Linked DNA regions of Saccharomyces cerevisiae S288C. Each later gene encodes a partner of the first gene's protein in a complex. Each region holds a gene or a part of one and is shown on either strand. Other genes may lie near its edges. The genes, in order: RPA12 and RPA43.

The links.
Region 2: RPA12 (region 1) and RPA43 share a complex: the UniProt entries of both Saccharomyces cerevisiae proteins name them as parts of the RNA polymerase I (Pol I) complex.

What each region holds. Positions count from the first base shown.
Region 1 is NC_001142.9:548,714-560,595, reverse strand, and holds RPA12 (DNA-directed RNA polymerase I core subunit RPA12), read right to left. Parts: upstream 5,402-11,882; coding exon 5,024-5,401; downstream 1-5,023. Other genes in the region: phosphatidylinositol kinase-related protein kinase TOR1, read right to left, coding at 1-1,180; ARP3 (actin-related protein 3), read left to right, coding at 1,438-2,787; chaperonin-containing T-complex subunit CCT5, read right to left, coding at 2,994-4,682; NTA1 (amidase), read left to right, coding at 5,747-7,120; MNN14 (Mnn14p), read right to left, coding at 7,278-10,085; CBF1 (Cbf1p), read right to left, coding at 10,782-11,837. UniProt on the Saccharomyces cerevisiae protein: DNA-dependent RNA polymerases catalyze the transcription of DNA into RNA using the four ribonucleoside triphosphates as substrates. Component of RNA polymerase I (Pol I) which synthesizes ribosomal RNA precursors.
Region 2 is NC_001147.6:949,553-961,960, forward strand, and holds RPA43 (DNA-directed RNA polymerase I subunit RPA43), read right to left. Parts: upstream 10,631-12,408; coding exon 9,650-10,630; downstream 1-9,649. Other genes in the region: KRE5 (Kre5p), read left to right, coding at 221-4,318; TEA1 (Tea1p), read left to right, coding at 4,792-7,071; YOR338W (uncharacterized protein), read left to right, coding at 7,346-8,437; putative E2 ubiquitin-protein ligase UBC11, read right to left, coding at 8,810-9,280; DNA-directed RNA polymerase I core subunit RPA190, read left to right, coding at 11,435-12,408. UniProt on the Saccharomyces cerevisiae protein: DNA-dependent RNA polymerases catalyze the transcription of DNA into RNA using the four ribonucleoside triphosphates as substrates. Component of RNA polymerase I (Pol I) which synthesizes ribosomal RNA precursors.

The DNA.
Region 1 (11,882 bases):
GAGCATTGGTTAAAATCTCTAAATAGTTGTCCATAATTTGGTGCAAATATTTGCCAGCAAATAATTGAGGATTGAACGATGCTAATAGGGGAACAATCTGGTAAATCTTTTCTCTAATCATTTTCGCTTTATGATTTTCATAAGCTATGCAATTTAGACACATTTGGTCGAACACTTGATTCAAAAAGGGATCCTTCAAAAACAAGATTTCCTTATAAACCAACAAACTTGCATGGATGCATTCTAATGTGTTTACTTGAAATCCGTATTCACAACTTGTAGCCAATCTCTGCACCCACTGGCTAGTTAACTGAGGATCCCTATTTCGTAGGGTGGAAAGACATTTGGCCAATGTAATGGACGCATCAATTCTGATCACCAAATGTGGGTCTCTTAGTGCTCTCCAAATGTTATCTAGTATGGAATTCAAGTATTGGTAGAGTAAATAAGGACAATTCTCTGCCAACGCTGTTATAATCAGAAGCGCAGCATGTTTAGCATGGTCTGGCTTCGAACTCGAGAATGAATTCTTTTCCGTGGAGGCAGTAAGCCATTCTAAGCAAGACTTTATCTCAAATTCCACGAAATCAGAGGTATATGTACCTCCTGGAACGGCTAACTTGCCCAGAGTCTTTGCAGCGAGTCTCATGACCTCTACATCATTAGAAGGTATTAGCCCTCGAAGGTAACCAGCCAGTCGTGAAGTTTCGTTAGGCAACCTTTCAGTATATGCGTAGAATGAAATCAAAGTGTCTATGGATAGAACAGCCCCTACCCTAGTGCTCGTTTTTTTTGTATGGACCAGCTCCAAAATCTTATTGTTTATGTCATTTGAAACTGCTTGGAACTCTTCTATCGACAATTCATGTTCCAAGGATACTAGTAGATCAAATAATGAAATACTGGCCAATTTTCGTTCCTCCTTGTAATCACTGGTTAATTCGCGGAAAATTTTCTCCAAAATGGGCTTAAAATTTACATCCCCATTACTGCCAATCACCACTCCATCAAACCTACTAGAAGTCAGACCGAATTCATCCCCGTTCCTGCTCGCATTCATTTTCATGTTCATATTCACATTCAGATTCGGTGCCAACGGCACATTTCTATCCATGTCCATATCGTTGTTAGCCGCTTTCAAAAGTTTACTCTTCCAAATCTGCTCCTCATGCGGTTCCATATCAATGCAAACCTGCTAGCCGGTTGATGTATGTTTCACTTTACCAATGACTCTCTCGTGAAGCTACTATGGCTCTTTTTTAACGTAAGCTCAAGAAGACCCTTCGATAAGGACTTTCAGTAGTCACCCGGCTGTCCGCGGCTTCAAAATGGCGAGAACCCCTTTTCAAAAGTTTCAAACAAAAATATATGAGAGTAGTTTAATCAAGAATTGGCCCTACCGTAAGGCCTCACGATTGAGCAAGAAATTAGGATTCAATGTCATACTTAAACAATCCCGCTGTTGTCATGGACAATGGTACCGGGCTGACCAAGCTCGGTTTCGCCGGTAATGATTCTCCCTCCTGGGTCTTCCCTACTGCAATAGCCACAGCTGCACCTTCAAATACAAAGAAGTCCTCGGGCGTTGGTGCGCCCTCAGCAGTTAGTAATGAAGCATCATACTTTGGAAATTCCACCTCTGCAACCAATTTCAATGGTGCAACAGGTGGTTTGCTGTCTAATAATTTATCCGGTAAAAGAGGTACAGAAGATTTGGATTTCTATATTGGAAATGAGGCTTTAGTAGCATCCCAAGGACCCTCTTACTCTTTGAGCTATCCAATCAGACACGGTCAAGTGGAAAATTGGGATCACATGGAAAGATTCTGGGAAAATTCCATCTTCAAGTATTTAAGAACAGAGCCTGAAGATCATTTTTTCCTATTGACCGAACCACCACTGAATCCTCCAGAAAACAGAGAGCAAGTGGCGGAGATTTTTTTTGAATCATTTAATTGTGCTGGTCTATATATTGCTGTGCAAGCAGTTTTGGCTCTGGCTGCGTCATGGACCTCTTCAAAAGTCACGGATAGATCATTAACTGGTACTGTTATAGATTCTGGTGATGGTGTCACCCACGTCATCCCAGTGGCGGAAGGTTACGTCATTGGCTCAGCAATTAAAAACATTCCAATAGCCGGTAGAGACATCACATTGTTCATCCAATCCTTGCTAAGAGAACGTGGTGAAGCAGACACTTCCTTGAGAACTGCCGAAAAGATTAAGCAAGAATACTGTTACGTCTGTCCAGATATTGTAAAGGAGTTTAACAAATTCGATAAAGATCCTTCTAAATTTGCCCAATTTGTGGTGGAAAACCAAGAAAAGACAAGGAGAAAAGTCGTAGATATTGGTTACGAAAGATTCTTAGCACCTGAAATCTTCTTCAATCCAGAAATTGCATCCTCAGACTTCTTGACTCCTTTACCCACGGTAGTGGATCAAACTATCCAGGCTTGCCCTATTGACGTCCGTAAAGGTTTATACAACAATATTGTACTATCAGGTGGGTCTACCATGTTCAAAGATTTTGGACGTCGTTTACAAAGAGATCTAAAGTCTATCGTAAATAACAGAATCGCACAAAGTGAGCTGTTAAGTGGAACTAAATCGACTGGTGTAGATGTTTCCGTGATTTCTCATCGGAAGCAGAGAAACGCTGTCTGGTTTGGTGGCTCGCTGCTGGCACAAACAGCCGAATTCAAAGGCTACTGTCACACTAAGAAAGATTATGAGGAATATGGTCCGGAAATTGTTAGAAATTTCAGCCTTTTCAACATGGTTTGATTATTGAGTCATGACTCATCTTATAAGGAAAAAGGTACAAAAACAAATGCAAATAACTGAAACGCCCCTCACTTCATTTAAATATACGTATACAACTGATTATATACACGTATATGTACAATCAAGTAACCCCAAATGCTGATCTGAGAAAAAAAATTGTGGGATATGTGATTAAAACTTATCTTTTATTATTTATTTATACAAAATCAATACTCATCTTTACCACTAATGATGACGTTATCAATCTTTAAAATCATTCTACATAATTGAGTAGCTAAAAGAATTTGCTGCTTTTTGCCAATAAATGGATCAACGACAAATAGTTCCTTCATGTCATTAGACCCGTAACCTAAGCAATCGACACCAATGTTGGAAATCTTTTCTTTCAGTTGTTTACTTTTCAATGTAGACAAAGTTCCGATTGGATCAAGACCAGAATTTTCAGCCAAAGTCATTGGAATGGTGTCTAACGCTTGGGCGAATCCACGGAATGCATACTGATCAATACCACGTTGCTTATCAGCTTCCTCAGAGACAGCCAGGGACATAGTCACTTCGGCTGCTCCCCCACCGTAAACTACACGTGAGTCTTTAACCAAGTTACGTACCACACATAGTGAGTCATGCAATGCACGTTCAGCTTCATCCACGATCATTTTATTGGAACCGCGAACAAAACATGTTACAGTTTTTGTTTCTTTACTTTGCTCGATAATCAGCATACGATCCTTAGTAGTACCAAACTCCTGCTCGTAAATTCTGGAACATGTACCTAATTTATCCTTAGACAAGTCTTGAAATCTTGGAACAATGCGACCGTTTGTGGAAATGGCAATGTGTTCTAGTTCTTGGCCACCTACCCATCTTACGGCAGGTAAATCATTCTGTAGAAGTAGATGATTGGCCTCATCGTCAAACCCCCATTGGCATATAACAACATCTGCGCCCGCTTTCTTCACATCGTCTATCATTTCTTTGAACTTATCTTGTTCATAAGTCTGTAATTTTTGGTATTCTTCTACTGAAGAAATGTCTAATTTATGCTTGGTCTTTGGTTTAGGAGGTTCAAATGGACACGTTAATATAGCTAACTTAACACCATCAGAGCCCTCTTTTGGTAAAACACATTTAGGCATTTGTGGATGAGAAAAATCTTTATCCAAAATGACACCATTAATCAATTTTGAATCGCTTATAGATCCGCCAACCCGTCCTTGCATTTTGATTAAATCGAAATCCACGTCTTTACGATCTTTGTCCATGACATTTATGACGGCTTCCACAGCCATTTCAGCAAATCTATCATGATCCTTGGAAACAATTTTGGAGCCCAAAGAAGTTTTGGCGGCCCTCAATAAAAAGTCCCTGAACAATTCATCGTTTGACGCAGAAATGTCGTCACATGTTTCTTCTAACTTGGAAATGGCTAATTTGGCGGCTTCATCAAATCCATTAGCGATTTTGATTGGATGTATACCCTTTTGAATTAACTCCAATGCTTGGTCAAGTAGCGCACTTGCCAGAACAACAACACCAGTAGTACCATCACCAATTTCATCATCTTGAGATTTGGAAAGTTGTACTAACAACTTTGCAATCTCATTATCTAGCTCCATTTGGGACAAAATTGTAGCACCATCGTTAGTGATGGTGATTTCACCGTCAGGTGAAATCAAGATCTTATCTAACCCACGGGGACCCAACGAAGTTTTGATAATAGAAGCTACTGATCTAGCAGCCAATATATGTGATTTCTTGGCCTCTAATCCGTGCTGTCTCTTCTTGTTACCTTGATCCTTCACGATAATAAAGGGTCTACCCATCTCGTCTTGTGCCACAATGGCGTTCGACAGATCCGGCATTTCCATAGGAGGTTGTTGTGGACGAGCAGCCATTTTCAAATATTGCTATAAAAATGGATGATAGCTGTTATTACTTTGAGTTTGTAGCTCTTTATCACGCACACCTCATTTGCCACATCCACCAAGACACTATTATATTTCTAGTTGTTCCTTAACAAAATTTTTCATTCAATGGCATAAATCACTTTACACGTTCTCGAGAACAGTAGATGCGATGAGTATGATAAATAGTAAGAATAATATGATAATGTACGCTATTATATCGTCAGTACATAGATTTTTTGTTTTTATAAATGATGTTCTATAGATGTTCACATGATGAAAGCGGGGATGATATTAATGTACAAATTGTAATATGTGCGAACACAACCCAATCAATTGTTGGTACGGAACTTGTAACCACAGGAAGTGCATGTATAGAAGACAGTAGCACCTTCATCTGCAGATCTTAACTGTAAAGTATGATAGTTCATCTCTTCATTTCCACACTGAGGACACTTTTCCTTGATAGTAGCGCCGTCTTTCAGTTCGTTCTTCTTCAAAGAAGTTTTAACCACGGATTTCTTGGCTCTAAGAGAAGATGGAAACGCATCGTCTGCCGTCGTGGTGACGACTTTTAAATTGGAGAATTGTGACTTGGGATATATGGCTTTACATTGGCTGCATTCAACGTTAGAGCCTAATACGGCATTAGGATTTTCCAGGAGATCACCACAGTCCAAGCAAAAAATTAACGATCCTACAACAGACATTCTTATAAGTACTAACCTGGATTGCTTTAAGCCTTTCTTTTCTTCTTGGATTCTTTACACTTGCCATGCAATGCCCTTCACTTGACATAAATTTGATTTTTTTTTTTTTCATATTTTTCATCTTTCGTTCGTAACGATATATAATTATTTACCCTGCACCATTCAAGAGGGTATATATCTCACTTAACTATTTTTGTTTTATAGCCCTAATAGATATTCATTCGTTGCCCTAGTAAGGGATAACCCTTCTTTGGAAATAAAACCACTTTAGTTTCACACATTTTAAGCATTTCAATGCTAAAAAGTGCTAGTTTACAGCGATAACTCTATCGTGACATTCAGTGAATGCTAATAGACGCAATTCATGGTGCTAAGATGAGCACAAAACTTTTAGTATCACTAAAGGTACTAGTAATTCAACTCAATCCGCAAATTGGGCAAGTAGATCAAACAATTAAGAGAACATGGTCAATATTGGATAAAGTTACGAAAAGTGCCACCTATGTGAAACCAGACATAATACTATTCCCCGAATTTGCATTGACAGGTTACAGTTTTCATGCCAGAAAAGATATTTTACCTTATGTTACTAAGAAAGATGAAGGGCCCTCTTTTGAACTGGCTAAATCAATATCCGAGAAATTTCAATGCTACACTATAATAGGATATCCTGAAGATGATGATGAACAGAAGCTATACAATTCTGCCCTGGTAGTAAATCCGCAGGGGGAGCAGATCTTTAATTACAGAAAGACTTTTCTCTATGATACAGAAATGAATTGGGATTGCGAGGAGAATCCAGAGGGATTTCAGACGTTTCCCATGGATTTTTCAAAGTGTGCTAAGCTTTCTAATGAGGACTCTTACAACAGAGATGTGACTTTGAAAGCATCAATAGGTATTTGTATGGACTTAAGTCCCTACAAATTCATGGCCCCCTTTAATCACTTTGAATTCTCTTCTTTTTGCGTTGACAATAATGTTGAATTGATTCTATGTCCAATGGCGTGGTTAAACTCTACTTCTATCACAGACAAACAGACGTTACATAACAATTCATTATTAGAAGCCGCTAAGAACAAAATAGCTTTCGCTTTAAAGGAGCAAGGGTTGCCTTTGGCAGGATCTCAAGGAATTTACCAGCTTAAAATTGGTGATTCGCAACGTACGCCCAGAGTGCCTTCTGACGACAGTACAAGTGAATATAAGGATATGGATGAACCAGATATGTCAAACGTAAACTACTGGATTCTACGATTTTTTCCTTTTTTGTACTTTAAATCCAGAATTAATTGGTTTAAAAATTCATCTCTTATCGAAAGCATTTTGGGCAAAACTAGAATGCCCCTAGATCATGAATATTATAAAGATGGAAAGCACAAGGAGGACACAATAGACTTATTGGATTCTGAGGAAGTGATAAAGGATACAGTACTGGAAAAGACATTTTTGGGAACCTCCCTTGGACAGCCTTGGAAGTTCCAAGGAAAGAATGCGATTTTGGTGCTAGCTAACAGATGTGGTACTGAAGATGGTACCACGATTTTTGCAGGAAGTTCTGGCATTTATAAATTTAACGGTAAAAAACCTAAAGGTTCACAGGATGATGATGAGAGTTCGCTTGATTCTCTCAATGAAAGCGTAGAGTTGCTGGGTAATTTGGGCAAGGGTCTAGAAGGCGCTATATTGCGTGAGGTCCAATTTGAAGTGTTTAGGTGAAGGAATATTATAATAAATTAGACATTATAAATTAATAAGGTTACACGCATATTTATGTTATTGAAATGTCGCCGTAAGGGCCGAATTTAAGTGAGGCAAGAATGAATAAATAATGGTTTTTGTTATTATCCTATTCCGAAGGATAAGGGAACGTTTTTTAATATTTTTGGTCTGAACCAAATATATTGTTTGAAGTTTTCTTATTATCACCAAAGAGATTTAAGCCCTTAGAATTCAGATCATTTACAGTCTTACTGTTGCCGCCATCGGGAAGTCTGAAGCCGTCAAAGTTTCTTTCATATACTTGCTGGGACCGTTCAACAAACTCTTTACCTTTTTCCTTCTCAACTTGTGAAGCAATGTTGTAGATGTTTGACGCATTCAACAACTTTTCCACGTTTTCCCATAACTTTCTTTCGTATATATATATGATCGGATCTTTTTCTGGTGATTTTATTTTTTTTGACATTCCTCGCCGTAGAGTTTTTAATAGACTACTTTTTTCTTCCTCACTCAAGCTAGGATCATACTGTATTTCAAGCTCTTTGAGTCTGTAAACAGTACTGTCAAAAGAATTAAATAAGCTGGCAAATACGGAGTGAAACCCACATTTTAAAATGTTTGTTATCAGTAGGCTTATGTCGCTGAATTTTAAATCATTTAAGGGACTTTCCAGTCGTGTTATCTTGGGTTCTTTCAGCTGCAAATTTGCAAACTTCTTCATGTCTGCAAACGAGAACCAGTATCTGAATTCCGGTAAATACACCTTACCTTGGAATGACAAAAGCCCGTATTTTGCCGGAACTTTATACTCATTATTCAATGTTGCTATGGGCCTATTAGGAACAAATGCTGACACACCGCTGAACATTGTATTTCTCAAGGGTGATATGATGTTTAGACTGGAAAAATGCTGGTTTCTACAATTGTAAAGGTTATACTTCTCATTTACCAAATACCTTTGTTTCGGAGACAAGTCTTTTTCAGCATAATCGCTTCTCGAAATTGCAAGCTCTTTCTTGTATGTTTTGGTGACTAAATTCTTTTCTGCATCCGTAAAGTCGTCTGGATGAGAATTAACCCATTCCATTAATTCATGTATGGTATATTTAGCTAAACCTTCTCTACCATCCACCTCGTCAAAATAGTCGTTTTCGTCAAACTTATAGTCTTCAATAAGGGCAGAAAAGCTTTCGCCCGAGCTTTCTTCTTCTACAAATTTGGACATGTACTGTTTAGCCGCATCGGAACTAACGCTAAGTCCCGTGATGTCAATGTATATACCTGAGTCAATATCGATGAAACGAGCATCAATATTGTTTTCGCCGTTCCCATGAACTCCTACCGTAATTGCGCTTCCTACATCTAGTAAGAATCTTCCATTACCTTCTCTTGGATCTTCTAATATTAGGGATTGGTTGAAATATTGACTCAAGTAATGTAAATGTTTAATGGGCATCTGTAAATCATGGTCGACATCCCAGGGAAACTTCAGACCATCATATAGATATCCATACAATGTACCATGCGATAGCCAGGAAATTAATCCGTTAGCCTTAACAAATTTCTGAAAATTTCTGATCAAAGAATTCAATCTTGCTTCAAACTCCTGAGGGTCATTTAGGAGATTATGTCCGATTGAGAAAAATCGCCTGTCTCTATGATGACCATCGGCAGTCGCGTCCGTAATATCAGAGGCCTCTGCGAAATACTTTTGCTGTAATGCAGGGGACGTATTTACGGACGTCTTTAAACTTCGTAAATAGTGGGTATCATGAGATGGTAGGCCTTCAGACCTGAGCCTGGTCTCTAATTCAATGATCCTCTCTTTTGCATTGAATTGGAAATCAGATGGTGATAGTTCTAGATACTCTCCAGCGTATATTGTTTTATCCAACGCTTCAACGTCAAGTTTCCTTTTTTTAGTGGATCCATGATGTAAAAATTTTTCAAACATGGAAGTGTGGTTGAAAATGAGGTCGCCATTTACCATTTCATTTCTGTGCCTCTTAATGTAATTCTGTAGTAGATTTGTCTGTACTATATTTGATTTGGAAGAGTCTGTTGTCTTCAAATTGATTCTGTATGCATCTTTATCGCTGTCCAGTACGGTTAATGACAGTGGAGTAAAGTTAGAATATAACAAGTGGTTTTTGGCTTGTAAGTCATACACTTCTGGCCTCAACCTTTCAGAAATTTCGCTTATGATAAAAGGCAATTCGAAGGGAGTACCATTGGAATACGCGTCATTATTCATGCAGTGATCATGTATGGCTTGCTGCACAGAATTAGAATCGACAACCTTTCTTACCCTGTTGTACCAGAGCGATTCGTCATATTTATTCCTATTTGTGACGAATAAAGGCTCTTGGACTTCACTCTCTACCATTTCTAGCACATTTTTATCAAAGGCACCCTCGCAAACGAACTGGCAAGATATGTTCGTGTGTCTCAGTGCAATGAGTTTGTTTGTAGAGTCAAAATTAGCCCAATCGTACCACGAAAATGCGTATTCATTGGAATCTGATTCTAATAAGTGATCTAGTAAAACTGACCATACCAGCCTTGGGTCGTTATCGTAATATCTCAATTCATCTACCGAATCAAGAACTTGCCCTTTTTCAGGACCCATTTTCACAGTGAGAAGATTATTCTTCAAGGTGTACGTGTCGATCCATTTGCCTGAAGTATCAAAATTCATTTTTTCGTAAAGTTTGGCTACGTTGTCTTTTGATCTCAGATCGAAAGAAGCATGGTTGTTGTTTCTGTTAGTGTAAGCAAGCGGTTTGAAAAAGAGCGCCATGAATGACTTCCAGTTACCGTCAATAATCGACGAGCGACCGCCCAATACAAATATGGTAATGAATAGTAACTGGATAGTTAGAAGAGTAATGATTATCTTTTTAAAGTGAAGCCGCAGAGATCTCAAAACGTACATGGAGAACCTGCGCAGTGATAACATCATTGGAATTGTATCTTGCTTCGCTTTCTTTTCTCTTTCTCTCTTTCTTTCTCTTCCTCTCGTTTAGACAATCTCAATGATTCTAATTCATAAAAATAAACGTTGGTTGTTTTCCAGAAAGTAAATAACAGTTGTTGTTAACTATATAAGATACAAATAGCGGAATGCCAGACTAAAGACAAGTGCACTCTTACTTGATCTTCGTCCAATGTTTCTTCTTAAATAATCAAGCAAAGCCCCAAAGTAGAAATAGGCCCGTGATTGTCGCGGACCTTCAAGGATGTGACGTTTTTGCCTGTTTTTTTCAGGTAATCCTCTCCACTACTATCTTTTTTCTTTTCTGCGACCCAAAAAAAAAAAAAGGAAGGGAAAACTAAGATTTTTTGATAAAAGGCGGGAAAACGGAGGTTGTGCGTATTTCTCTTGGCGATTTTTCCATTGAACGTCAAAAAATTCTTGGCAAAACTTTTTTACTAAGCCATTTAGGGATGAAAAACAATAACGTACAAAGACATATTTGAAAGTCCGTCCCGTCCTCTTTTACTTGCTGAGTTTGAGGCTGAGTGATTCTCTAATACCATCCGGGCGGTTTCAAATATGCCGATGGAATATTGATAAAAACTTAACAGAGGTGCTATGGGGCAGAGACGCAGATACATAGGGAGACTCGAAATACATTTAGCTATCTATTTTTAACTCTCAAGCCTCATGTGGATTATCGCTCCTAGTGCTTTTTCTTTCGTTCTCTTGTTTCTTGTGAGTGTGCATATCCTCGTATTCTATTCCCTCCTTCCTTAAAACGCGTTTCATGTACTCGATTTCTTTGTAAGCATTTCCCAGTTCTTCCTGCAGTTTCTCATTTGCACTGGCTAATTGCGATGCGTTTTGCTCGCTAAGCAATTTTTGTAACGTCCACTTTTCGATGTTTGCTTCATCGGTTTCTTTCAATTTTTGAATGTATTCAGCGGCACACGCCAATATTGCTGCCTTACTTGATTCTCTCACGGGCAGGAGGTCGCTTAAAACGTTGATTGCAGTGTTGATGTTTTCGCGGCGACGCCTTTCGACTTCTTTATGGGAGTCTTTTCTTTGCTTTTTCCACTCGTCTGTTGTGGCCAAAGTAGTAGGTTTTCTTCCACGACGACCCGGCTGCATGCTTATATCCTTTTTGAGATCAATGTCAGCGTCATCATTGTCTTCATCATCCTGTTGGTGTTCTGGCCCACGATCGTGTTCTGCCAATGGTATGAGCATGTCGTTTTTAGATTGCTGTGTAGATTCCATTGGTGAAGACGTCATTCCCTCCAGGGAGGTGTTTGGCTTGACTCCTTCATTTGATGGGGTTATGGCTCTTTCCCCATTAAGGGAATCCTTGTGCTCACCATTCGCGTTCGTTTGATTAGATGTGTGGGCATCAGAACTATCTTCCTGGCCCTGGATTAAGTCTGTATAATTGACGGTAGCGGCAACAGCAGCCTCAGCCACTGACGCATCTTCGTCATCACTTCCTTTCTCATCTTTGTTAGACGTCAGTCCGCTTTCATACTGACTTTGAGTCCCTTTTAGCGTAGCCCCTTCGCTCAACAGAGCAGAGTCAATATTTCCGTCATTGCTCTCTTGTGACAACAAGCCTTGATCTCTTTGCTTTTTCCTGGCCTCGCTGTAGTTCTGCTCCTCGTTATAGCCTCTTTTTCTTGCCGAATGGATTTCCTCATCCTCAGTAGAAAGCTTATTATTATTTGCCAGAGAGTTCATCGTTAATAAAAGTGTAGAAAACCGTATTATATTTTAAGCACTTGA
Region 2 (12,408 bases), on another chromosome or scaffold:
ACTAGAACAATTTGAATCTTGCTCAGCACGCTCTGTCTTACGTATATATCCAATTTCAGTTGATTCGAAAGACATGAAAGATTATTAATGTGTGCATTACCCGGATTGTCAATAACTCATATAGTTAGTATACTAATTAACTAACTATATAACGTGGCATATTAAAGATTAATTGTCCTGGTAGAATATAGACGTATCAGTGTGAGTGCCTCTGTTGATTATGAGACTACTTGCGTTGGTATTGTTATTGTTGTGTGCGCCGCTTCGTGCATGGACTTATAGCTTACGATATGGCATACCCGAATCTGCTCAGGTCTGGTCTATTTTAGTTCATTTACTGGGCGATGTTGATAATCAGCTGTTAACTAATTTATATCCTTTGGTTACCGGTTTGGATGACGAGATTGATATTCAAGAAAATCTTGTGGCGCTAACTTCCAATGTATTAAGGGAGCGATACGATAAAGAGGATGTGGCTGATTTATTGGAACTGTATGCTAGTCTTTACCCTATGGGTATGATACAGCACGATATCAGTTCCAATGCAGAACAAGACGATGCAAATAGTAGCTATTTCGTTTTGAATGGTAATAGGTACGAAAAGCCCGACGACGTGTTCTACTTGAAATCTAAGGATTTAACAATTCAACAGAAAGTCCCAGATGTTGATGTTATACAACCTTACGATGTTGTCATTGGTACTAACTCAGAAGCGCCGATATTGATCTTGTACGGTTGTCCTACCGTTATTGACTCCGACTTCGAAGAATTCAATAGGAATTTATTTATGGAAGCAATGAATGGAGAGGGAAAATTTAGATTTATTTGGAGATCCACATGTTCCCTTGATGGGAAAAGCGTGGAGTATCCCTTAACTCATCCGCTTGAAATTACTTTACAAAATGGTTCTAGAATGAGCTCCATACCTCAATTAAAAAAAATACTATATACTGTACCCAAAGAAATATTGGTTGGAGCAGACAACGATGATCAGCTCCATGATCTAGAACCAGAAGAATTACGTGAACTTGATTTGAGAGTAACATCGTTAATCTCAGAATTTTACCAATATAAAAAGGATATCACAGCCACTCTAAATTTCACCAAAAGTATTGTTAACAACTTTCCACTAATCTCTAAACAACTGATTAAGGTTTCATCTGTTAACAAGGATATAATAACAAGTAATGAAGAACTCAATAGTAAAGGCTTCGATTACAACATGCTAGGTCTCTATATTAATGGACAGAATTGGAAAATTACCTCACTGACTCCGTACAATTTGCTTACTGCTTTAAAAACTGAATACCAAAGTTTACTGAAAATTACGAACCTTTTGCAAGAACTCGAGCCATCGAAATGCATACTAGATTCCAAGTTTTTACTCAATAAGTTTTCTCAATTTTCATTGGGGAAGTTGCAAAACTTACAACCAATCAAAATGGATCTCCACACAATTCCAGGGTTCTCAGAATCAGTAATATACTTCAATGATATCGAAAGCGACCCGCAATATGACGAATTAGTAAATAGTGTTCAAGCATTTTTTGATAAATCGAAATTCGGAGAGTTGCCTGAAATAAAGCAAAACTGGTCAGAGATCATATTCGTTATAGATTTCGCCCGTTTAGAAGATAGTGAGGTGAAGGAGGCATTGGGTGGGTTGGTTCGTGCCGTTAATGTTGTCTCCCAGGGATATCCGCAAAGAGTCGGACTATTGCCATTTAGTTCAGATAGTGACAAGTCCGTTGTTAATAAAATTTACGAGCTGAAGAACTCAACTGACAATTTAACAGAATTAAAAAGTTTTTTGGAGACAATGCTGCTTGCAGATGGCCTTTCCGCGAATGCAAAACATTCAAAACACATACCAGTTCCAGATGTTTTCCATCTACTTGATGAACTTCAAATTGACGAAACATCAATTATAATCAATGGAGAGATTTACCCATTTAGAAAAAATGCTTGGAATTATTTAATTGCAAAAGTTATCAAAAAGGACACTGAATTTATTCGTAAAGAATTGAGCAATTCTTCTCCGAAAAACAAACAAATTAGCGTAAGGGACTTATTGCATTACAAATCTGCAAATCTGAGACATAATAAATATACACCAAATTATTTTGCTGATTCGGTATATTCTTCGGTCAACAATACTGCATTGGAAAGCGTATGCTCAGAAAGAATAGGCTACTATACTAAAAATGAAGAATACAATTTATTACACACAATCACATTAGTGGATGATTTTGGCTCTATTCATGCTTTGAAAAGATTGAGAAACTTGTTGCATACTTCCTTTGTTGGTGTTAGGATCAGAATCATTCACGTAGGTGATATTTCTGATATTTGGTATCAATTGCGTGGAAGTCTTTCCCAAAAAGATCCAATAGGCTCAATAAATACATTTATTGATGCTTTGAAACTTAAAAAGGTAAAAAGTCACACGTACAAAAAAAGCGGCTTAAACCAGTTAGGCCTTCATAAATGGCTTCCTGACATTCCATTATTTGAATTGCAAAAGGGTTCATTTATTGCTTTGAACGGTAGATTTATTCATCTTGATCAAAATGAAGTGCCAGAAACAGAACATTTCGAAGCAATCATAAAGAGAGAAGCTCTAAGAACGATCGATTCAGTTTTCGCCCTAGATTTACTTTTTCCAGGTTTCTCACAGGAAATAATCAATCCTGATTTGATAGAAATGATCTCCTCCATTTTAACTAGGTTGTTTTACCAAGGTACACATATATACAATAATGGTATTGATTATACCACTGAAAGTAGCTTACCAAGAATGGATTTGAGCGAGTTTTTTAGACCTAATAATTTAACGATGTTTGAAGATGGAAAATCAGCTTCTATTGATTTACTACTAATTTTAGATCCACTTGAAGAGAGAACGCAAATGATTCTTTCTCTTGTTGAGCAATTCAGGCCTTTGAAATTTGTTAATATTCAGGTAATTTTAATGCCGACACTGGAATTAAACATTGTCCCTATTAGAAGAATATACGTTGATGACGCAGATATTGTCAAATCAATAACTTCTGAGGATAGCAGATCAGATCCAGAAGTAGATATTGAAATGGATGTTCCTAATTCTTTCATTGTAGATAATAATTATCGGATAAAAAAATTGCTCATAGAATTACATTCCTTCTCTAGCAAAACAGTCCTTTCAACTGGCAATATTGATGGTATGGGGGGTGTATGCCTAGCACTTGTCGATTCTGCAGGGAACATTATTGACAAAACTACAACAATGAAAACCTTTGGCTATGGACAATTTCATACCGACAAATTTTTAAAGGGTTGCTATATAAAAAGTTGTGATTCAAGATATACCGTTCAGTCATTTTCTACTGACGGGCATCCCGACTTTATACCATCAGATTCCTTGGATATACTGTCGTACAATCCACAAAAAATCGCTGTAAAAATTTCAGAAGAGCCTACACACGAGGAAGAATACGAGGAAGGTCGCAACAATGATACAATAATCAATATTTTTACTATTTTAGAGTCCGGGCCAGATGAGGAAGAGAGGTACATGCAAATGATTTTATCCATTTTGTCAAAGTGTCCCGAAACGCAAAAGGTGAATTTTTTCATTTTAGATCAGCCGTTTATCTCCGACACTTTAAGGAAATCATGTGAGTATATAAATTCCTCTGATGAAATGAGAGGCAATGTCATTTTTTTGAATTATGAATGGCCTCAATGGTTAAGACCGCAAAGATTTTCTTCAAGGAGAAGGGATGTCTCTAGATTTCTGTTCTTGGATGTCCTTTTACCTCAAAACATCTCCAAAGTGTTATATATGAGTCCAACTGAAGTACCGCTGGATCCTTTTGACATTTTTCAATTTCAAGGCCTCAAACGTGCACCTCTAGGACTATTCCGAATGAGTGGTGATGGTTATTGGAAAGAAGGATACTGGGAAAAAATGTTAAGGGAGAATAATTTAGAATTTTATTCTACCGAACCGGCCTTTTTAGTAAACTTAGAGAGGTTTCGGGAGTTAGATGCTGGTGATAAATACAGGATTCACTATCAACGTATTTCTACAGACGCCATGTCTCTTGTCAATATCGGCCAAGATCTAGTTAACAACCTACAACTCGAGGTTCCGATTAGGTTTCTCAAGGGATCGTATAAGAAGAAATTAGTTATTAATGATGAATGTGTTTCTGAATGGAAGAAAAAAATAAATAAGTTCGCATCCTCTCCTGGCGATGAAGACGTACCTGGAGAAAGTGTTAGCAGCAAATACCAAGATTCCGACAATGCCGCTCCTCTGCATGACGAATTATAACTACTCGCAGGAAGAGTTCATTACGCGACGGTTCCAAGAGCGTGAAAGAATTGCTTCTGCGCATAAGTCTTCTTCCATAATAGATTTTTATATCATTTTTAGAACATAAAATTTCTCGCCAAGAGTTTTTTAAGTAAAAGCAGATTATCCAGTAACATGGGTTCCGCTTTTTGAGCGAATACTATGAACGAGTTTTGCCCGTGCTCCCCATGACTCATTAGATTCTTTGATGACAAAAGATCACTGGCAGAAGTCTGTTTCGCTTCTTTTCTTTTTTTTTTTTTTTTTTTTTTTTTTCGAGCAGATTGCAATCAGCGATGAGACAAAAATGGAAAGTAGGTATGGGCTGACGATTGCCTAAACGGTTATCAATTGGTTACTATAAACGCCTCTATTATATGAATATACCTATTTATTGAATCCCTTCATTAATATTTAAGAAGACAGAGGCTATATATCATCTGGATCAAAAAATGACAGCGCCATTGTGGCCAAACAAGAATGAAAAAAACCACACAGTTAAAAGAGCGTTATCAACGGATATGACCAGCAATATTTTGAGTAGCACAAACGCGAGCTCAAACGAAGAAAATTCTAGGAGTTCTTCTGCAGCCAATGTACGCTCCGGAACAGGTGCAAATACACTTACTAATGGCGGCAGTACTAGAAAGAGACTTGCGTGCACTAATTGTAGAAATAGAAGGAAAAAATGTGATTTAGGATTTCCCTGTGGTAACTGTTCCAGGTTGGAATTGGTTTGTAATGTTAATGACGAGGACTTAAGAAAGAAGCGGTACACTAATAAATATGTCAAGTCTTTGGAGAGCCATATTGCTCAACTGGAGACCAACTTAAAAAACCTAGTTCAGAAGATCTACCCTGACGATGAGCAAATACTGAACCGAATGATGGTAGGTGATGTATTATCAGCTCTACCAGACAGTTCACAAGTCTCAATCAATTATACTGACCAAACTCCCTCTCTTCCAATTCCCGCAACCAGAGGTACATTCATTATTGAAAACGATAAGGTCAGTCAACCTCTATCGTCCTTTAACCAACAAACAGAGCCATCTACTCTAAACTCGGGTATCTTCAACACCCAAAAACAAAATTTCGAAGAATCCCTTGATGATCAGTTACTTTTACGAAGATCGTTAACACCGCAAGGTGAAAAAAAGAAGAAACCGTTGGTAAAAGGTAGTCTTTATCCTGAAGGACCTGTCAGTTACAAACGGAAGCACCCCGTAAAATCGGACAGTTTATTGCCTGTGTCTTCGTTAACAGCTGCTACAGACCCATCTACTTTTTCTGACGGTATAACTGCTGGTAATTCCGTCCTAGTTAATGGTGAACTGAAAAAACGTATATCCGACTTGAAGACCACCGTAATAGTAAGAGGACTAAACGATGATAATCCCAACTCTATCAATAACGATCCCAGGATTTTAAAATCTCTTTCCAATTTCTATAAGTGGCTGTATCCAGGTTATTTTATTTTTGTTCACAGAGAAAGTTTTCTTTATGGATTCTTCAATCACTCCAAGAATAACTATGAAGACTCAAGTTACTGTTCTGTCGAATTGATATATGCCATGTGCGCTGTCGGTTCGAGGCTTACACCGGATCTACAAGAATATTCAGAAGTGTATTATCAACGAAGTAAGAAGACTTTATTACAGCTCGTCTTTGATGAGCAAAGTACAGCCCGTATCACCACCGTCCAAGCGCTATTTTGCTTAGCCTTTTACGAACTGGGGAAGGGTAATAATCAATTAGGGTGGTACTTCTCGGGCCTGGCTATCAGGGTCGGCTACGACATGGGATTTCAACTGGACCCTAAAGTCTGGTACGTTGATGATAACAATCTGCAGCTGACCCAAAGTGAGTTGGAAATAAGATCAAGGATTTACTGGGGTTGCTATATAGCGGATCATTTTATTTGCCTGATGTTGGGTAGAACGTCCACATTAAGCGTTAGTAACTCAACCATGCCAGAGTCGGATGAGCTGCCAGAAGTCAACGGCACCGAAGAGTTCAGATTTATTGGAAGACATGTTTTACAGATATCCTTGCCTCTGAAAAACTTGATAATTCTATCAAGGCTTGTACAAATCTTCACCTCTAAAATTTTCATCGAGTCGGAAGATATAGCACGAAAACTAAAGTACTTGAACACTTTCAATTCTCAGGTTTACAACTGGAGACAATCTCTACCGGAATTTTTGCAATGGTCGAAAACACTCATCGAGAACGATGACGTATCCACAGACCCCACTATATCTTACTTCTGGTATTGCTACTACATAGTGCGGCTCACCTTTAACAAGCCATTTATAGAAGACTCTCAAGAATCCGAAACGGTAGTCATAGAGATCATCGATGATTTGAAGACTTTGCTGGACAATTTCGGGAAAAAATTCGGAAACTACACGAAGGGAAACCTTTACCAACTTTACTCATGCCTGTTGGCCATCAACTGTTTGAAGAAGTTGAAAGAGATACGTTCCAGTGAGCAAGACTCATGGAATGCACAATTGGATTTTTTCAATCACATCTTCTACACACAACTATATCCCGCATATGATCTGCCGAAAAAGCTGCAGGAGGATACGGAGCTGGAAACAGAACAAGAAAACCAGATGTTGAACCAAGTTGGAAATATAAACTACACGCACGATTTTTCACTCTCCCACGAAATTGACGATCTTATCAGAGAACTGTTTGGGGTGGGCACACCTCAAAAACTCTGACGATCTTTATATTTGTCACCTTTTCCGTATCGGCGGCTAAAAGGCGATGCGGTGCACAGGCGCGGGGTCCCTGGGAAAAAGAAATGTTCAAATTAACATTTCTTTTTCTTGTTTTGTGGCTCTTCTAGAAGGATTTTTAATCAGCATAGCCTGCGTTAAAATTTTTTACCGGATCTTATATATCTAAGACATCTACTCTGTTTAAATACTTAACGAACATCATAGAGAATCAACTAATAATATAGATTAGAAAAGAGAATTTTTTTCGACTGCGATGCTAGATAACATGCAATTTCATTCTCCAGCACCGGAACATCCTCAATTGAATGGGGGTATTAACAAAATTCCCGCTTCCCACAAAATAGGTTACAAATTAAACCAGCAAGTGCAGAGATTGGCTGTGGTCAGGAATAATATTGAAGAGAGATTGAACTCGATGGAATCCTCACACGGACAGATATCCGATAGTAGCGTTGTCCGTGCTATCGATGCAAGTATCGATGACTTCCTAATACCTTCACCTCCATTATCGCCAAAGCTGAGGCAATGCCCCATAATAAGCCAGCCTCAGCTGGTTAATGTGGAAAGCGACCATAGGGAGCTGATCATGTTGACCCCCGTTTGGGAAGCGGGCTTGAACTCTCAGAAGTACAACCATAATACAAGGAATTTCTTATCGCAATATAGCTTCTTCCGAGATATGAAAACAACGAAAAGGATTCCTAACAAAGAAAATAGGAAATTGAAAGTGGTAAAATCTGTTGTGAACTCAGAAGCTCTGCCCAAGAGAAGAAGATACGATAGGAAAATTAAGAGAAGATCAAGGGAGTTGTACGAAGATGATGGAAACAGGTCAGAAAACTATGATGAAGAAAGTGCTCAAGAAGTTCCAGTTAGATCAGTGACTCCGATACGTCAAGTTAAAAGGTCTCTTCATACTATTTCTTCGCCATTGGCCTCACAGGGCGTAGTGAATAATGTCCCCAAGTATATTCCAAGCATGTCGTGGGAAAAGTTGCCGGATTACTCACCTCCTCTTCACACTTTGCCGAATAGTAATAATAAAGTTTTAAAAGTGGAATGGAAAGGCTCTCCAATGGACTTGAATCATGATCCTCTCAAACAGCGTCTGCATCCTGCAGAACTAGTTCTCGCACAGATTCTGAGACTTCCATGTGATCTTTATTTGGACTCTAAAAGAAGATTTTTCTTGGAAAAAGTTCATAGATTCAAAAAGGGGTTGCCGTTCAGGAGAACGGATGCTCAAAAGGCTTGTAGAATAGACGTTAATAAAGCATCAAGGCTATTTGCAGCATTTGAAAAGGTAGGTTGGTTACAAGATAAACATTTTGAAAAGTATTTGTAAGAAAGAGGCGGTACGCCTTTGGGATAGCGTATCGTTTCATCGTTTAAACGAGCAAATTTGATAAGTACGGAATATGACAGTCTCATTGAGTAATACAGAATTGAGGCGTTTAAATGGTTATGGTTAAGGGTTACGGTTACGGTTTTTTATTCTTAGAACACATTTGATATATTTTTATTTATGGTTTTTTACATATAGATTTCGTTCATATATGAGGTTTTCTTTTTATATTAATTATATTTCTTCGGTTGTTACGTTATCAATTTTGTTATTGAATTATTACGGGTTATGAACGCCGTAGAAAAATAGCATTGGAGTTTGAGAGTCTGTGGCTTTTCTGTCACATCATTTTTTCGTCTAACTTAGGTTAACTCAGTAATCGTCGATTTCTTCATAACAGGCCAGGACCTTTTTTCTGTATTCCTCCATATCTGCATCCCAAAGTTCTGCTGCCACAGCGTTCAGCGGAGATCTGTTATTTGGTTCGCCAAGTAATGACTGCAATGACAATAGAATTGTTTCTACATTATACACTGCAGACCATTTCTCTTTCAGAATGTCCAAACAAATGTTGCCACTCTTATCCACGTTTGGATGCCACATTGGACTCAAAAATTTAATCATTGGCGGATGGAAAGGATAGTTTTGAGGAAACTTCAATGAAACCTTGAATTTAAGTCCACTATACGGTGTGTCTTTAGGGCCTGTAATATACCCTACCCAGTATGTTAAATCATTATCGTCTACGGGAAACGCACTAATACTTTCTGTTGTAGAACTAAGTAGCTGTAGCAGCTCATTTTGTAAACGTTTCGTCACGCAACCACCCTCTTCTACTGCCATTCTATACTAGCAAGCCTCGAATCATACAGGTTTTGTAGCACCTATAAGATGTAAAATATGAAAAATTTTTTCTGATATCTCATTTATCCAGTGTCAGAAGCATGTTTTGTGTCGCTATTAGTCAACGCTTTTTCCTTGAAAATCTCTTTCTAATAATGACATCATTAAAAAGAGTCCATTAACGTTATAAAGGAAAAATATTTCAAATTAAGCTTCATTACTGTTGATATATTGTCGAATTTGCCACGGTTTAGCTACGTATGCAGGACTATTGATTATCAGCACTGTAATAATGTACAATTATTTATATTATCCTATATCAATAACGTATATCTTTATTTGTTTTGATTTTTTCTCATTTTTCCCGTCCTAATCACTATCACTCGATTCACCATCATTGCTTTCACTGGTGTTTTCCTCGTATACGATCTCTGAACCATTATCTTCTTTTACTTCAGGTAAGTCTAGTTCCTTGTGGCTCTCTTTGTTTTCGATTGAAACTTCGTCATCAAATACAATTTTTTTGTTTGAAACTATAGGTAAACTTTCAGCTTGGGAACGAGAGCTGTTATAGCCATTGCCTTCTTCGTCGGCGTCACTTATTAATGTACCGTCCACAGAAACAACTCTTCCTGTAGTATGAACATTTCTCACTGTGAACCTCAATTTACCGTCAATGGGTTCACCATTAGAATCTACCCAGTGGCCCAAAGATCTGTTTCCAAAGGAAAATTTGCCCAAACTATTGCTTCCACCATTGCTATCCTTGTTATCTTCGTTATTATTGTTTCCATTATTTTCATCTGTGTTTATCACGTCAGCATCTTCTTCCACGTCGTTATGGACAAAGGTCCAATCCACAGGGATATTATTCTTTTTGATACTAGCATTAAACGCATCATGAATCAAAAGACCAATGTGTGAGGCGGATTGAATGAAAATGTAACCTTCCAAAACATCTCCAACTTGTGGCTGCCAAACGTATAGGTTTACATGGCACCAAGTAAATCCAAAAGGGGTATCGGGTGTGATTTTTATTAGTTTTTCTGATGTATCTTCTTTGCTTAAAGGATCAGCATCAAGAATTTTCAACCCTTCATAACCTAGCACAACACCTCCAACTTTGTTGTTATATTTCATTACTAATGGGTTCAAGTGCTGCTTCATGACACCTTGCAAGGGATTTTCTAAATACATTGGTGCCAAAGAAACATAGAGAGCAATGGGAACACGCACTATACAGTTGGAAGTTCCATTTTTCTCATCAATTGGGTTTGTAACCTGTTTTTTGTGTTTCTTGATGAACCTTGCGGTTTCGCGGTTCTCATTGGCTCTTTTTACTTGTGACATAATCCACGTTTGTCTCTTATCTTTCTGATATTATTATATATAAGCAAAAAAACGAGGGAGTGTATAACGATAGTCCCTTCGGCTCTATTTTATTGTAAACCTCCACTACATTGTCATATTTGCGATGCCATTAGTATTTTATTGCAGAAAAATTTTTTTCAAACCACCCATACACCCTCATCGGAATCTTTTCATTTCAAAGCGACAGTAATATTTTCTGTCAAGAATACACAAAGGATACACTTGCAGCTGGAATAAGCAAGATTCCACCAAGTTTCTTCTACCTGAAATACATCTATTACGGGGCCTTGATTAAAAGTAACTTAACTTCGCAGTTAAATTTAACTTTACAAGAACGGCATATGATCAGATCGTATCCTTGCCCGCTATCGGAGGGTCTCAGAATTACATCTTATACTGTTTCGAGTTTCTTATGTCTCCTCTTATAGCTAAAATGATTTGAACTTAGAAATTATCGAGGATAGAAGTAAGGCGTTGCATTTCCTTATAACTATCGTGTTTATTTTCTTAGTGGTGGTTCTTTTATTATTACCCGTTTTCTTCGGTAATATTTTATAGTGAAAAATTTTGGTAAAAAAAAAAAAAAAGAAAAAATTTTTTTTATTTCAAATCTCATCTCATCTCTTAAAAAGGTTTATTCTGTTTACTCAAACTCTTCATCAAAAACAAAAGTACTGCGCTAATAATTCTGGTCTTAGGTATCCATTAACTATACAGTGAACTTTATCCTTTTTCTGCTTTTTTTTTGCCGTACTTCGATTATAATCAAAGCCAGAAAGAAAAATGGATATTTCTAAACCGGTTGGTTCTGAAATCACATCCGTTGATTTCGGGATCCTAACAGCTAAAGAGATTAGAAATCTATCAGCAAAGCAAATTACCAATCCTACGGTTTTAGATAACTTAGGTCATCCAGTATCAGGCGGTTTATATGACTTAGCCTTAGGTGCATTCTTAAGGAATCTGTGTTCTACTTGTGGTTTGGATGAAAAATTCTGTCCAGGTCACCAAGGTCACATTGAATTACCTGTCCCTTGTTATAATCCATTGTTCTTTAACCAGCTATATATTTATTTGAGGGCATCATGTTTATTCTGTCATCATTTCCGTTTAAAGTCAGTAGAGGTTCATCGTTACGCATGTAAATTGAGATTGTTACAATACGGTTTGATAGACGAATCTTACAAACTAGATGAAATAACTTTGGGCTCTCTTAATAGCAGTATGTACACTGACGACGAAGCTATTGAAGATAATGAGGATGAAATGGATGGTGAAGGAAGCAAGCAATCAAAGGATATTTCCTCCACTCTCTTAAATGAACTGAAAAGTAAGCGTTCAGAATATGTTGACATGGCCATCGCTAAAGCTTTGTCAGACGGCAGAACTACTGAGAGAGGCTCTTTCACAGCTACTGTAAATGATGAACGAAAGAAATTGGTCCATGAGTTTCACAAAAAACTATTATCTAGAGGTAAGTGTGATAACTGTGGTATGTTTTCGCCAAAATTTAGAAAGGATGGTTTTACAAAAATCTTCGAAACTGCGTTGAATGAAAAACAAATTACAAATAACAGAGTAAAAGGTTTCATTCGTCAAGATATGATTAAGAAGCAAAAACAGGCTAAGAAATTGGACGGTTCTAACGAAGCATCTGCAAATGACGAAGAAAGTTTTGACGTTGGTAGAAATCCTACCACCAGACCAAAAACCGGCTCAACATATATTTTATCTACTGAAGTGAAGAATATTCTGGA